Linked DNA regions of Mus musculus. The protein of the gene in region 3 interacts with the protein of the main gene of each other region in a pairwise test. Links are inferred from orthologs where the notes say so. Each region holds a gene or a part of one and is shown on either strand. Other genes may lie near its edges.

Region 1 (4,212 bases), on a different chromosome or scaffold from region 3:
TCCCTCCCGCCCCCCAACTCCCCACTTTGGTTTTTCAAGACAGGTTTTCTCTGTGTAGCCCTGACTGTCCTGGAAGCTGCTCTGTAGACCAGACTGGCGTCGAACTCACAGAGATCTGCCTGCCTCTGCCTCCTGAGTGCTGGGATTAAAGGCTTCCACCACCAACCCCCTTTCCCTGTATTTTTTTTTTTAAACCAAACTGATTTGTCTCAAACTCATGACCCGCCGGCCTCAACCTTTTCGCATTGGGCTTCTAAACCTGCACCCTTATTCTTTCTTTCAAAGAAAAACTAAAAGCTAAATTTATAGTAGGCTGTTTCACCTGAACCCTAAAAGCCCTGGCGTTTTCATCAGCTTTTAGCCCCTAAAGTCAAATGAGTCAGGGAGCTACCACCAATAATTCTGACACACAGCCCTGCAGAGTAAGAAAGGCACTCAGGGAGCACCACCTTGGATAAGGAAGGTGTTTGAAAACGGCTGTATCTGGAGCTCAAGAATCATTTACAAAATCAATCACCGAAAAGAACCAACCAACCAACCAATGAGCACCATTACTGCTTTGTAAAGAGGAGGCTAATGGAGGAAATTATTACTAAGGCGTTTCAATTCACTCCTCAACCAGCCTTGCGCTTGAGATAGATTCTCTCAACAAACAAATAAAACGGAAAAACAACAAGATGCAGTTACTGCGAATTCCCAGGAAAGCTCGTGAATGAAGGAGTGGGAGCAAGCGCGGCGGGTAGCAAAGGCCACGCCGGTGAGGTTTCCCTCGTTTTTCCGCAGGCACGGGGAACGTGGCTCCTCCATGCACGCCCTCCTCCTCCAGGCAGCCCTCCTCCCCACCCTCCTGCCCCGCCCTTACAGGATATCCTCGCGGAAAGAGGTGCCGTTGTTGAGGTTATGGAAGCGGACGGAGATGCAGTCCCTGACAATGAAGGAGCACCTGGTCTCCTTTTTGTAGGCGCTGAAACACTCCTTGAAGTCCTCGTAGGTCTTAAAGCAGCTGCCTAGCTCCATGGCCGGGGACTGGCCCTCCTAGAACCTAGAACCACGGCAGGGGTCAGAGGTCACTGGGTAACGGCTGGCACGGGCCCAGCTGCGGTCCCGAGTGAGTGGCTTACAGGGCGCTTGGGAGGAGCCCAGAACAGGAGGAGACCGGTAACAGCAACCTAGGGGCGACTTTGCTCAGTGACAGAAGAGGAAAGACGCTCATCCCTTATTATTCATCTCCAAGGCTCCGCCCCCTCGCTGATTCACCCAATCACACGCGGATGTCCAAAACTGACACAAATATCCTCCAATCTTAAGATAGAGCTAGCCGCGCCCACTCTGAAATTGACAAGCACATCGACCAATCACAATCTGCGTCTCGCTCCCCGGAGCCCTTGGGATTTCCGGCCCCTGGAGCGACCTTCCGGAAGCGCTGGGAGCCTATATAAGTTTCCGCGTTTCTCTCAACCGCAGCCAGCAGTGAAAATGTCAGCGCCAGAGGGTCTGGGAGATGCTCATGGCGACGCCGACCGCGGCGACCTTTCCGGGGACCTCCGTAGTGTGCTGGTCACGAGCGTGCTCAACCTCGAGCCGCTAGATGAAGATCTCTACAGGTAGCCGGTAGCGCCTCTGAACTAGGCTCGCACCCCTCTTTCAGTATAGAGTCGCGATTACTGCCATCTCCCTGTGAACCTCAGTTCTGGGGTTAAGAGTTGGATGCAAGCTCTGCTGCAGTTAGAAGGCATGTCCCTGGCATCCATCCTTGCTTCCTCTTCAGGAGGCGATCTGGGGGGTGGGGGGGGAAGGTGTGTGTGTGTGTGTGTGTGTGTGTGAGAGAGAGAGAGAGAGAGAGAGGGAGAGAGGGAGAGAGGGAGAGAGGGAGAGAGGGGACAGAGACTCCGCTACCCCACAAGGCAGCTTAATCTGGTAGACTGAGTGTGCGTGTGTGTTCGTTTGTTCAAGCCATCCCTTAATGTCTGGTAAGTCATTACTTATCTTTCACTGAAGTGGGTTTGTAACAATTTTTTTGTTTTGTTTAGAGACAAGATGTCACTAAATATAGTCCTGGATGACCTGGAATTCACTATATATATATGAATGGAGAGGGAGAGAATGAGAGAGAGAGTATATATATATACACAGCAAGTTGGCTTGGAACCCACAGGGATCCACCTTCATTTGTCTCTTAAGCGCTGGCAGGAGTTCACCACCAGGTCTAGCTGGTTGTCTTGTTTTGTTTTGAGACAGGCTTTCTGTATAGCCCTCCCTGGCTAACCTGGAACTCTGTGTAGACCTGGCTGGCCTTGAGCTCACAGAGGCCAGTGTATCTCTGCCTCCCAAATCCTGGGCTCAAAGGTGTGTACCACCATGCCTGTTCAGTGACAGTTCTGACCCATGCAGCCCTTACGACTTTATCAGAAGCTATCGTTCTTCCAGCTAGGTAATTACTGTCTTGGGCCAGGAGCGCTTTTCAAATTGTTCTGTAAAGAAAAAACTGACAATCTCAGGGTTGAGTGCTAGGACTCAGGGTTCAGGCTCCAGCACTGGGCAAGCCCTTTCACCTAGATTAATCTGCAGGTAGCCGGCAGCGCCTCTGATTTCGGCTAGATTAATCTGCATTCAGTTTCACAACCTCAGACTGTTTTTTTTTTTTTTTTTTTTTTTTTTTTTTTAAGGGAGTTATATGGGAAGTCTTGAAGTCCTTTTAGCTCTGAAACTAGTTCCTGGAAGAGCTGCCTTGTCATGGTTAAGGAGTGCCAGCAGCAAGCCTTCATCCACACAACCCAGTCCCAGATCTGTTTTTTTTGGAGTTCCTCATGTCTGTTCAAGGCCTCAACAAACTTCTGGCCTCTCCCTTTCCCTGGTTTGGGGCGGGGAAGCTGTGGACTTGAGACCTCCCAGGGTTGGTAAGGGTTGAACTGTGTGGACATGCTTCCTGTACTCTTGCTGTAAACGAGGGAGCTCGCGCTTATGTTCTGTTTGAAGTCCACAGAAAGCTTGGGTAGATGCGTGGACGAAAGATTTGTGCGGTGATGTAAGAGATTCGAGAGCAGACTCGTTGGCCTCCCTCGGGTTCTGAAAAAGGACCCAAGTAACCTTAAACCCTTTACTGGAGGCTTACGGAGTTCACAGCGCCCCTCAAGTCTTTTCCACTTTCCTCTCTCCACAGAGGAAGGCATTACTGGGTACCTACCTCCCAGCGGCTCTTTGGGGGTCAAATTATGGGCCAGGCCCTGGTGGCTGCAGCCAAGTCTGTGAGTGAAGACGTCCATGTCCACTCCCTGCACTGCTACTTTGTCCGGGCAGGTAAACCCCGCACCCTGGCGCCTTGCTTGCAGCCACACTTGGTAGCCCAGTGGTTACTTCTTCTTTCCTGGCTTTGAAGGCTAACTCAAGGGTAGGAGGAGAGTTAGCGAGGAGGATGAAGAAGGGAGAGAGAGATGATTCCCTGAAAGGTACCTGAGGGGCAGAGCATGCAGCTTAGTACTAGCACACTTGGCTAGCACCAGGAGGGGTCTGTGTTCTATCTCAGGGACCAGAACAAGCAGGGAGGGAGCCCATCACTTGGCTTAGGTCTGCAACCTCAACAGTTTGGGAGGCTGAGACAGGCTCTGGAAACAACCTGCATCCATATCACACTCACTGAGACTCATTAAGTGCATATTCTGTTTCTTTTTAAAACTCTTTTAAAAAATTATTTATTTTATATTATGTGAATACACTGTAGCTGTCTTCAGACACTCCAGAAGAGGGCGTCAGATCCCATTACAGATGGTTGTGAGCCACCACGTGGTTGCCGAGATTTGAACTCAGGACCTCTGGAGTAGCAGTCTGTGCTCTTACCCACTGAGCCATCTTTCCAGCTCCATATTCTGTTGAATGACGTGGACCAATGCTTCTCTGCTCTCAGTGGGTCTTCCCTGGAGCTTTCTTGGTTGATTTGATTTTGAGATAGGGTCTCATTGTGTAGGCCTGGCTGGCCTCAGCCTTTATGACCTCAGGCCGGGCTCTGTTCTTTCTTCATTCTTTCTGCCTGCCTCTGCCTCCCAAGAGCTGGGATTAAGGGCTTTTGCCACCATACCCAACCTTCCTTCGTTTATAAAAAATATGTATATGTATGTATGTATTTGCTTATTTTTGAGAGATAGATGTGTATATGTCTATGCCTAAATGAGTTCCACGCTGCTCTCCTGCTGTCTGAAGAGGCAGTGGGTACGCAGG
Region 2 (4,093 bases), on a different chromosome or scaffold from region 3:
ACAAAACACCTGAAGCAAAAATGATCACCGGGTGGGAGCTGGAGACATGGCTCGGGGGTAAGAGCACCAGCTGCTCTTCCAGAGGACCCGGGTTCAATTCCTAGCACCCACATGGCAGCTCACAACTGTCTCTAACTCCAGTTCCAGGCTATCTGACACCCTCACACAGGCACATAAAACACCAATGCACATAAAATAAAATTAAAAAAAAAATCATTGGGTGGGTTTCACAGCAGAACAGAAAATTGGGAAACAAGCCATGCTAAAGTGGAGAAGGGGTCAGGGGTCAGAGAGGAGAAAGGGTAGTGGAGTAACTTCCGTGCGTGTGTGTGTGTGTGTGTGTGTGTGTGTGTGTGCACGTGGGGGGGGGGGGGCAGGGGTAGGCAGAAGTCACTGCATGTAACACCCTTGGCTAGACACCCCTGTAGGTTTTGAAAGGTCCAGAGCCTCATTCAAGGTTACAGATCTACTGCGGTTAATCCAACTTCAGGATCCTAGCAGGTTCTGTTGAGCTAATTTCTATGCTTGAATTTGTGGTAGGGAGGGAATTCTGGGCTTTGAGCCAACTCCTGAGTACACACACCCACACACGGGTGAATGTTTTAAATTAGACTGAAAAAAAAAAAAAAAGAAAAAAAAAAAAAGCTGGGCATGGTGGTGCAAGCTGTTAAATCCCAGTGCCCAGGAGGCAGAGGCAGACAGATCTCTGTGTTCCAGGCCAGCCTGAACTTGGTCTACAGATCAAGTTCCGAGATAGCCAAGGCTACACAGAGAAACCCTGTCTCAGAAAACCAACCAAACAAAAACCCACTGAGGACTAATGGCGTAGCTCAACAGTTAAGAACCTATATACTTTTTAAAAAAGATTTATTTATTATTATATCTAAGTACACTGTAGCTGTCTTCAGATGCACCAGAAGAAGGCATGAGATTTCATTACAGATGGTTGTGAGCCAACACTGTCAAATTGATCACACCCAACCTGTTAGTCCAGCCCTAGGGGGATTTTTTTTTTTTTTTTTTTTTAAAGATTTATTTATTTATTATATGTAAGTACACTGTAGCTGTCTTCAGACACACCAGAAGAGGGCATCAGATCTTGTTACAGATGGTTGTGAGCCACCATGTGGTTGCTGGGATTTGAACTCCGGACCTTTGGAAGAGCAGTCGGGTGCTCTTACCCACTGAGCCATCTCACCAGCCCTAGGGGGATCTTATGTTACATATTATTATATAATCATAAGTCTTTAAAAAATAAATAAATAAAAATAAAAACTTTCATTGAGAACCACTATGGAGCCAGCAAGATGGCTCAGCAGGAAAAGGAGTTTGAAGGCTTGCAGGCGAGCAGGACCAGCATCCAGGTCCACTTGATCATGGGGAAGGATAGAACCAGCTTCCAAAAGCCGTCATCTAACTTTTGCACACGTGTGCATGCACGCGCACACAAAAATAAAAGTAACTTTTTCTTTTTGGTTTTTCTAGACAGGATTCCTCCGTGCAGCCCTGGCTGTCCTAGATCTGGCTCTGTCATCCAGGATGGCCGTGAACTCCCAGAGAGCCACTGGCCTCTGCCACTCCAGTGCTGGGACTAAGGGCACATGCCACCGGCCCAGTATTTTTGTTTCCTTCTAGAAACAAAAGGAGGCCAAAGCATTGAGTCATGTTTACAATCCCAGCATCAACATTTAGGAAGCTGAGGCAGGAGGATTACTTCAACTTCTAGAGTAGCCTAGTCTAAATAGAGAGTTCCAGGCCAGCCAGGGGAGGGAAAAAAAAAAAGAGTAAGTGACAAAATCAGCAAAGAAAACTGCTAGCATGGCTGCCCCAGCAGGGGGAGAGGCGCCAGCAGGCAGACAAGTACCTGAAGTGAACATCTTTCCTGCACCGGAGACTACAACAGCCCGGCAGTCCGAGTCTTTGGATATCTTTTGGAAGCATTCCACCAACTCCCTGCAGAGGCATAAGAAGTAAAGGGTTATATCTGGAGTGGGAAGCCCCTGTCCCTGCCCACCTCTGTCTCCTCTAGCAGATAGGCTTGTGGGCTTGCAGGCCAGACCTCCAGAAAGCCCTGTTCATGGCATTCCTCTTCTCTGGCCGGTTTAGCTGCACGTGGAGAACATGCTTCTGGGCACTTGTGACTTGAATAGACTCATAGTTGTGGTCTGAGACTTCCTCGGGGGCTCTCTTGGAGGCCTCTTGTGCAGAGGAGCTCAGAGATCGAAGGCTGATGTTGAAGTACAGCTGGCTGGTACCTCTCAGCTCTGGGGAGACAAGGAAGAGACTTTGAGAGCCTAGAATGGGGACATTTTAACAGTATATGCTCTTTAGGGGCGCTGGCATGACCAGACATAACTTTTAAGATTAGGGTATGCAAGCCAGGAGGTGGTTGGGAGGCAGCATTTGGAAGGCAGAAGCAGTCCGATCTCAGATCGAGGCCAGCCTAGTCTGCAGAGAGTTCCAGGATAGCCAGGCCTACACAGAGAAATCCTGTCTCGAAAAACCAAGTTTCAGTCTGAGACTACATTAGACCCTTGTTTGTGGAAATGACCCAAGATTGGGGACAAAGAATTCAGGTTGAAAGACAGACCTAAAAAATTATAATTTCATTTTAAATTACAAAAGGACTCCTGAGTTTAAAGCGACCCAGGCAGACTTCCCGTCTTATCGCCGCTATAACAAGACGACACAAAAACGAGCCCCCACGGATTAAGGGGTAACTCACGCTGCATCAGCAGGCCGCGGAGTTTACTGGAAACTGTCATCGCGGTAGCCATTTCTGGAGCTCCGGAGCTGTGCGACTTACTCCCGAAGAAAAACTTAGGGGGCGGGCACGAACGTTCGCCATGTTGGTCAAGGGCACCGAAGCCACCGCGGCCACCGCCCTTTAGCAGCGAGGTCCCACCTAGTTCGCCATCTTTACTAAGGGCAAACGAAAAAAAAAAGCACTCCTTCGTGTCTCATGTGTTTGGGACGTTGCTTAAACCTTTGGCCCAGTGGGACGCTGGCCTGAGAAAATATTTCACAGTGCTGTTGGAAAATTGTGTATAAAGTTCATCACAACGCTGTGTTGGAACAAAATGCAGACAACTGAAATAGTCAAGGACAGAAGGGCAGCAGTTTAGTTGCTAGGATACCGGCTGGCCAGAATTAAGCAGTTTTTATTCCCTTACCGCCAGAAGTTGGCTCCTGGACCAGGGAAGTTATACGGATTCAAGGTTACTGGACATTTAGAAGTGCGTAGGCAGGAGTAAATGGCTCTAACGCCACCCTCCTTTGTTTTGTGGTGCGAGGGGACTGAGGCAACATAGGCAAACATTTAACACCGAACATATCCCCAGGCTCTTCTCCCTGATTTATGTAAGGTCTATATAAAACCCCAGGCTTGCCTGTAACTTCAAGTATCCTCCACCTTTTGCCTCCTGAGAAGGGATCATCCTACACCCAGCCCCCGCAACAAAGACTCTGAAAAGAACCCAAGGAAGTTCAATGTGGTGCCTCATACCTTCAATCCTAGCACTCAAGAGACAGGGGCAGGGAAAGAAAAAAAAAAAAAAAAAAAAAAAAGGGAAAAAATCCGGGCAGGGTGGCGCATGCCTTTACTCCCAGCACTGGGGAGGCAGAGGCAGGCGGATTTCTGAGTTCCAGGACAGCCTGGTCTACAAAGTGAGTTCCAGGACAGCCAGGGCTACACAGAGAAACCCTGTCTCGAAAAACCAAAAAGACAGAGACAGAGACAGGGGCAGGTGGCAGATCTCTGCGAGTTCAAGACAAGCCTCTTCTACATAGCAAGTTCCATTACTATAGAGACCCTGTCTAAATAAATATAATAATATGCTGTTTGTTTCTAGACAATTTCTGTGTAGCTCTGGCTATCATGGAACTCTGTGAACCAGGCTGGCCTCGAATTTATAGAGATCTGTCACCTTCTACCTCCCCAGTGCTGGTATTCAAGGCATGTGCTACCACTACCACCTGGCAAAGGCTATATTTTCAAAACAGACATACCAAAAAAAAAAAAAAAAAAAAGCCTGAGAAAGTATTACCCAAGAGCATAAAATACCGTCTAAGTGTGCTCCTTAGGGAGATGTTT
Region 3 (4,171 bases):
TGCAGAGATAAGTAAACAACACATTCAATGCACTTAACACAGAGAAGCTGATATTATTTCTATTGTTACAGATGATCTTTACCCTCAAAGACCATCCATAAAGAAATTAGTTTCTAAAACCCATACAGATACAAAGTTCTGAAGACTGAAGTCTCTTACGTGAAATGATATATTTACATATAACCCACAAAAATCCTCCCATTATTCTGACATCTCTAGATGACTTATAATACCCTATATAATGTAAATGTTACATATATAGCAATTATATCAATTAGGAAATAGTGAATACACACACACACACACACACACACACACACACACACACACATGGCCAGGCATAGTGGTTCATACTTGTAGTCCCAACATTCAGGAGGCGAGGGCAGGAAGATCTCAGTTACACTGGAATTTGGAGGACAGTCTGGACTACAGAGATCCTGTCTAAAAACTCAAAGAGCATGTATACGTTTAGTGCAGACATACATTTTCCATTTTCTATCCACAGTTTGTTCAATCTACAAATGAAAAGCCAATATATATACAGGCAGCCTAGCCAGACTTCAGGGTTCTGAACTCCACAATCAATTTTCTCAGACCCCAGTCCTACTCAAGATGGTTGAATTGCCAGAGTCCTAGGTGCCGAGATGAATACTGCTCTCTTCCTGGGCTACCCATCCAATCTCTAGCTCCTCTCCACTAGACTTAAGCAGTCAAGTTACTGATAAAGAGGCAGATCTAATCTCTCATTCATATTCTCTCTCTCCCTCTCCACCCCCTCTCTTTTTTTTCCAACCAAACCCACTTTTCTCTTTATTATGTTTTGATTACCTACAATTGTTATAAGAAGTCACATTTAACATCCTACAGAAATGAATCAAGAAACTAGAAAAGTCATTAGTAGCGAAAATCACCTTCCATCCCAAGAGGAATCAGGACGCCCAGCAACACAGGACATGTAAATGCTCCCTAACAACTACTACAGATGTCCCCACAAGCCTCACCTGTAACTTCGGCGATGAATTCTTGGGACCAGTCGGTCTCATTATAATCTTGAGCTACATCCACAGCATCTCCAGCTGCAAGAAACTCCTGGGCCCAATTCTCAGACAAGGCCAAATCTGCCACACCAGGGGCTTAAAAGAGACAAGAGAAGACTAAGAAAAAAAGAAAACAGGTTCCTTCACACTCACTCATGGGCAACACCTCCTTTTTCTCCTCAGCATCTCAGTCCCCCGATGCCAGCAAAACCCAAGGATGGAAGCCCTCTGGCCTCTTCCCGTCTTACCAGGCCCTGAACCCACCTCTCTGAGGAGCCTGGCGAAAGTTTGACTGTTCAATCTCCTGCATCTCTGCCAGGAGGTCATCCATCTTGAAGGTCTGAGGGGCTCGGGATACAAGAGTTGCATTCTGGTCCTGCAGGAATTCTGACACCAACTATTACAGAGAGATGGTCGGATGAACATTAGGATCAGAGGGCCTCAGCCAGAGGCAGGGCCCACTGATGTTGGACAGAGAAACGAAAACTGGAGATAAATAAAGAAAAAAAAAAATCTATCTGTAAATTTGGAAACCAGAAAAATACCCCAAAAAGTAGACGAAAACATTGGCAGGCAATCTCATTTGGTAAAGAGAGTTCAAAGACTGAAGTATGAGTGGACTGATTTAAAAAAAAAAAAAAATCACCACAACCCCCCCCCCCAAAAAAAAAAAAAGACAGAAAAGAAACTTGCTCTGTTTACCTCGTCTTCAGTTCCTACTCCCAAAGGCTTGGAAACCTAAGATAAGAAGGAAAGAGACAATAGCAGGCTACAACCCAACTCTAACTCTACTGCTTAGGTGGCCTGAGGCAAGTCAAGAGCCTTCACAAAGCCTCAGCTTCTTTGTCTATAAAATAGTAGTCCTTGTCTGTGTAAAGCCGCACAAGGCTCACTCCAGTGTTACTGAATGGTGACTGCTATTACTTTAACACAGAGAAAGCAGCTGTCAGGTGGAAGAAATAGGCTCTCCTAGAACACTCACGGTCTCTGCTGCTGAGGCTCCCGGAGGCCAGGGGCCAGGCCTCAGTCCCTCCTGCCGAAGGGCCTTGTCCTGGGTGAAATGGGTGGCCAGCTTCATCAGCGGGTTGGCACCCCCACATTCGCCCTCCACCAGCTCCCGCATTGCCATGGTGACCAGCAGCTTCCCTGATGGACAGAAGATTAGAACTGTGGTCGGGAAGCCAGACTTTCCCAACGCACGCCTCAGGCCCTATCTAGAGCAGATGGGCCCACGACGGCTCCACAAGGGCCAGGCCCCCGGGGCCACCCCCCGAGGTGTGTCTGGAGTCCAAGAGGAGGCTGTGTCCTGCCTTCCCACTCGAAACGCTGCTTTCGGCTCGGGCTTCCCCTCCAGCGGACGGCAGCTCAGACACCACCCGCCAACAGCAGCTCTACAAAAGGGCCTGGACCCCTGGGGAGCACGGGGAGCGCATCATAAACACGGCTAGACCCGAACTCTAACCTGACGAGGGACAGCGGGGACGCCTTCCACCGTACACCGGGACCCACACCCCCGGTCAGGCGCCAGCTGCGGGTCCCGATCCCAGCTCGTGTCACCTGAGCCCCCTCCCCGGCCGCGCCCGTCCCCGCCCAGCGCCCCGCGCCCCCAGCCCCGTCGCCCCAGCCTCGACCCCGTCCCACGAGGCCACCGCAGCGGCGGGGACTTACGGGCCTCGACCCCGCGCCCCCAGGCTCCAATGCTCGCCGTCGCGGGCCGCACCGTCCGACCGGCCGAGGCACCCGGAGTGGGCTGGGGGAAGGGAGGGGGCGGGAGCAAGGGGGCGGGACTCGGCCTTAAAGGGGCCGGGACGGCGGCGCTGCGGCCCAGCTCAACGGAAACGGGTAAAGGGGCGGGGCCTCAAGCTTGCGCAGCGTGATGGGCGGAGCCGAGATCCTTAAAGGAGACAGTCCTGGACAGTTGGATTGGGGAAACCTGCAGTAGTCCCTAGAACGCCAGGATTTATTAGTGGAAAACTCAGAGGACTGGAGCTAGAAGAGGCCTCTCTGGCTTTGGAGAAAAACCAAGGTTTCAGGTTCCACGGTTCAGCTCTCTTTCCTGGTTCTCCTGCACCTCTAAATCGCCCAAACTGAGCCCGGGAGATTTCGGAGGTCAAATCTATGACCTGCTTCGGCCTCCTAGGCCTGACCCCCCTTCCAACAGACGCTCCTTCAGGACAGCGTCACAGCCTCCAAGGAGACAGGGGCCTGCCTCTACCATCTCTGCGTAATGAAGAAAATAGCTCCGGATGATGACAAATTCTGGTGACTAAAATAGGGTCCAACGCATTTTGAGACCTCAATCCTGTAATGGATGGGGAGAGTGCTGTGAGTCACTCCTCTCTCCTCTTTCCTACTGGTCAAGGTCACGATGGCCTGATTCCCTGCAGCTCCAAGTTGGGGAAACGTGGCAAGGAATACCTTTGATCAGGGAATATGAACCTAAGCCTCAGGCTCCACCATCTGCCAGAGAAATGGCTCGGGTGCCAGACCTCAAGGTCACACTGGAAAGCAAACCTTGATAGCTCACCTAGGTCCAAGACCGACGGACTCCTTGACGTCCTGAGAAGGGGAGGGGTTCAGAGTGCTGGTAGGTGGGCTAGGAGGAAACTGGTTCTAGAAAGGCCTGACGTACGTCCCAACCCGGGGTGCGGGAGAAGCAGGTAGTCTGTAGGTGGCGCCCTGGGGCAGGCTTGGTTCTTTGCTGCCCTGATGATTTCAAAGGTAGCCTTCCTCAGGGAACACAGGCAGTGTAAATTCGTCCCTGGGAAAATAGAAATTGCCCTTATAACTGCAGTGGTTGAACAAGGCAGAATATTGTGCAATGTTTCTGTCTTTAGTACACTGTCAGTATCTTTCAGAGGCCCTAACACACACACATACACCCATTCTCCTTGACCACAAATTTCATCCCTGTCCACTGTTTCCAGGCTGCCATTGTAAAGAAAAAAACACCTAGCAACGAATAAACTAAACCACACCAAGGAGGAAAGGATGCCATCTTGGAAGATGAATATGTTAAAACAGGAGAATCTCTGGAGAAAGCAGTGTTTAAGGAAAGCATATGATGGTTTGAATTTCTGGTCATGGGGAAATGGGAGAGCATCTCCCAGAAGCATTCAAAACGCATCACACAC

What was found.
Region 1: the proteins of Pex5 (region 3) and Acot8 interact in binary tests that used the Homo sapiens proteins (3 or more experiments, as listed by UniProt). The link is inferred for Mus musculus from reciprocal best matches to the Homo sapiens genes PEX5 and ACOT8.
Region 2: the proteins of Pex5 (region 3) and Ech1 interact in a two-hybrid assay, tested with the Homo sapiens proteins (2 studies listed by BioGRID and IntAct, with this or other methods). The link is inferred for Mus musculus from reciprocal best matches to the Homo sapiens genes PEX5 and ECH1.

Annotation. Positions count from the first base shown.
Region 1 is NC_000068.7:164,802,082-164,806,293, reverse strand, and holds the start of Acot8 (acyl-coenzyme A thioesterase 8), read left to right. Parts: upstream 1-1,412; 5' UTR 1,413-1,476; coding exon 1,477-1,604; coding exon of another isoform or gene 1,605-1,607; intron 1,608-1,634; exon of another isoform or gene 1,635-1,707; coding exon of another isoform or gene 1,708-1,732; intron 1,733-3,160; coding exon 3,161-3,297; exon of another isoform or gene 3,298-4,212. Other genes in the region: Zswim3 (zinc finger SWIM domain-containing protein 3), read right to left, coding at 863-1,017. UniProt on the Homo sapiens protein: Catalyzes the hydrolysis of acyl-CoAs into free fatty acids and coenzyme A (CoASH), regulating their respective intracellular levels. Displays no strong substrate specificity with respect to the carboxylic acid moiety of Acyl-CoAs.
Region 2 is NC_000073.6:28,824,045-28,828,137, reverse strand, and holds the start of Ech1 (delta(3,5)-Delta(2,4)-dienoyl-CoA isomerase, mitochondrial precursor), read right to left. Parts: upstream 2,801-4,093; 5' UTR 2,778-2,800; coding exon 2,726-2,777; intron 2,265-2,725; coding exon 2,060-2,264; intron 1,954-2,059; coding exon 1,865-1,953; intron 1-1,864. UniProt on the Homo sapiens protein: Isomerization of 3-trans,5-cis-dienoyl-CoA to 2-trans,4-trans-dienoyl-CoA.
Region 3 is NC_000072.6:124,412,268-124,416,438, forward strand, and holds the start of Pex5 (peroxisomal targeting signal 1 receptor), read right to left. Parts: upstream 2,801-4,171; 5' UTR 2,706-2,800; intron 2,615-2,705; exon of another isoform or gene 2,500-2,614; intron 2,184-2,499; 5' UTR 2,167-2,183; coding exon 2,020-2,166; intron 1,776-2,019; coding exon 1,740-1,775; intron 1,435-1,739; coding exon 1,302-1,434; intron 1,134-1,301; coding exon 1,002-1,133; intron 1-1,001.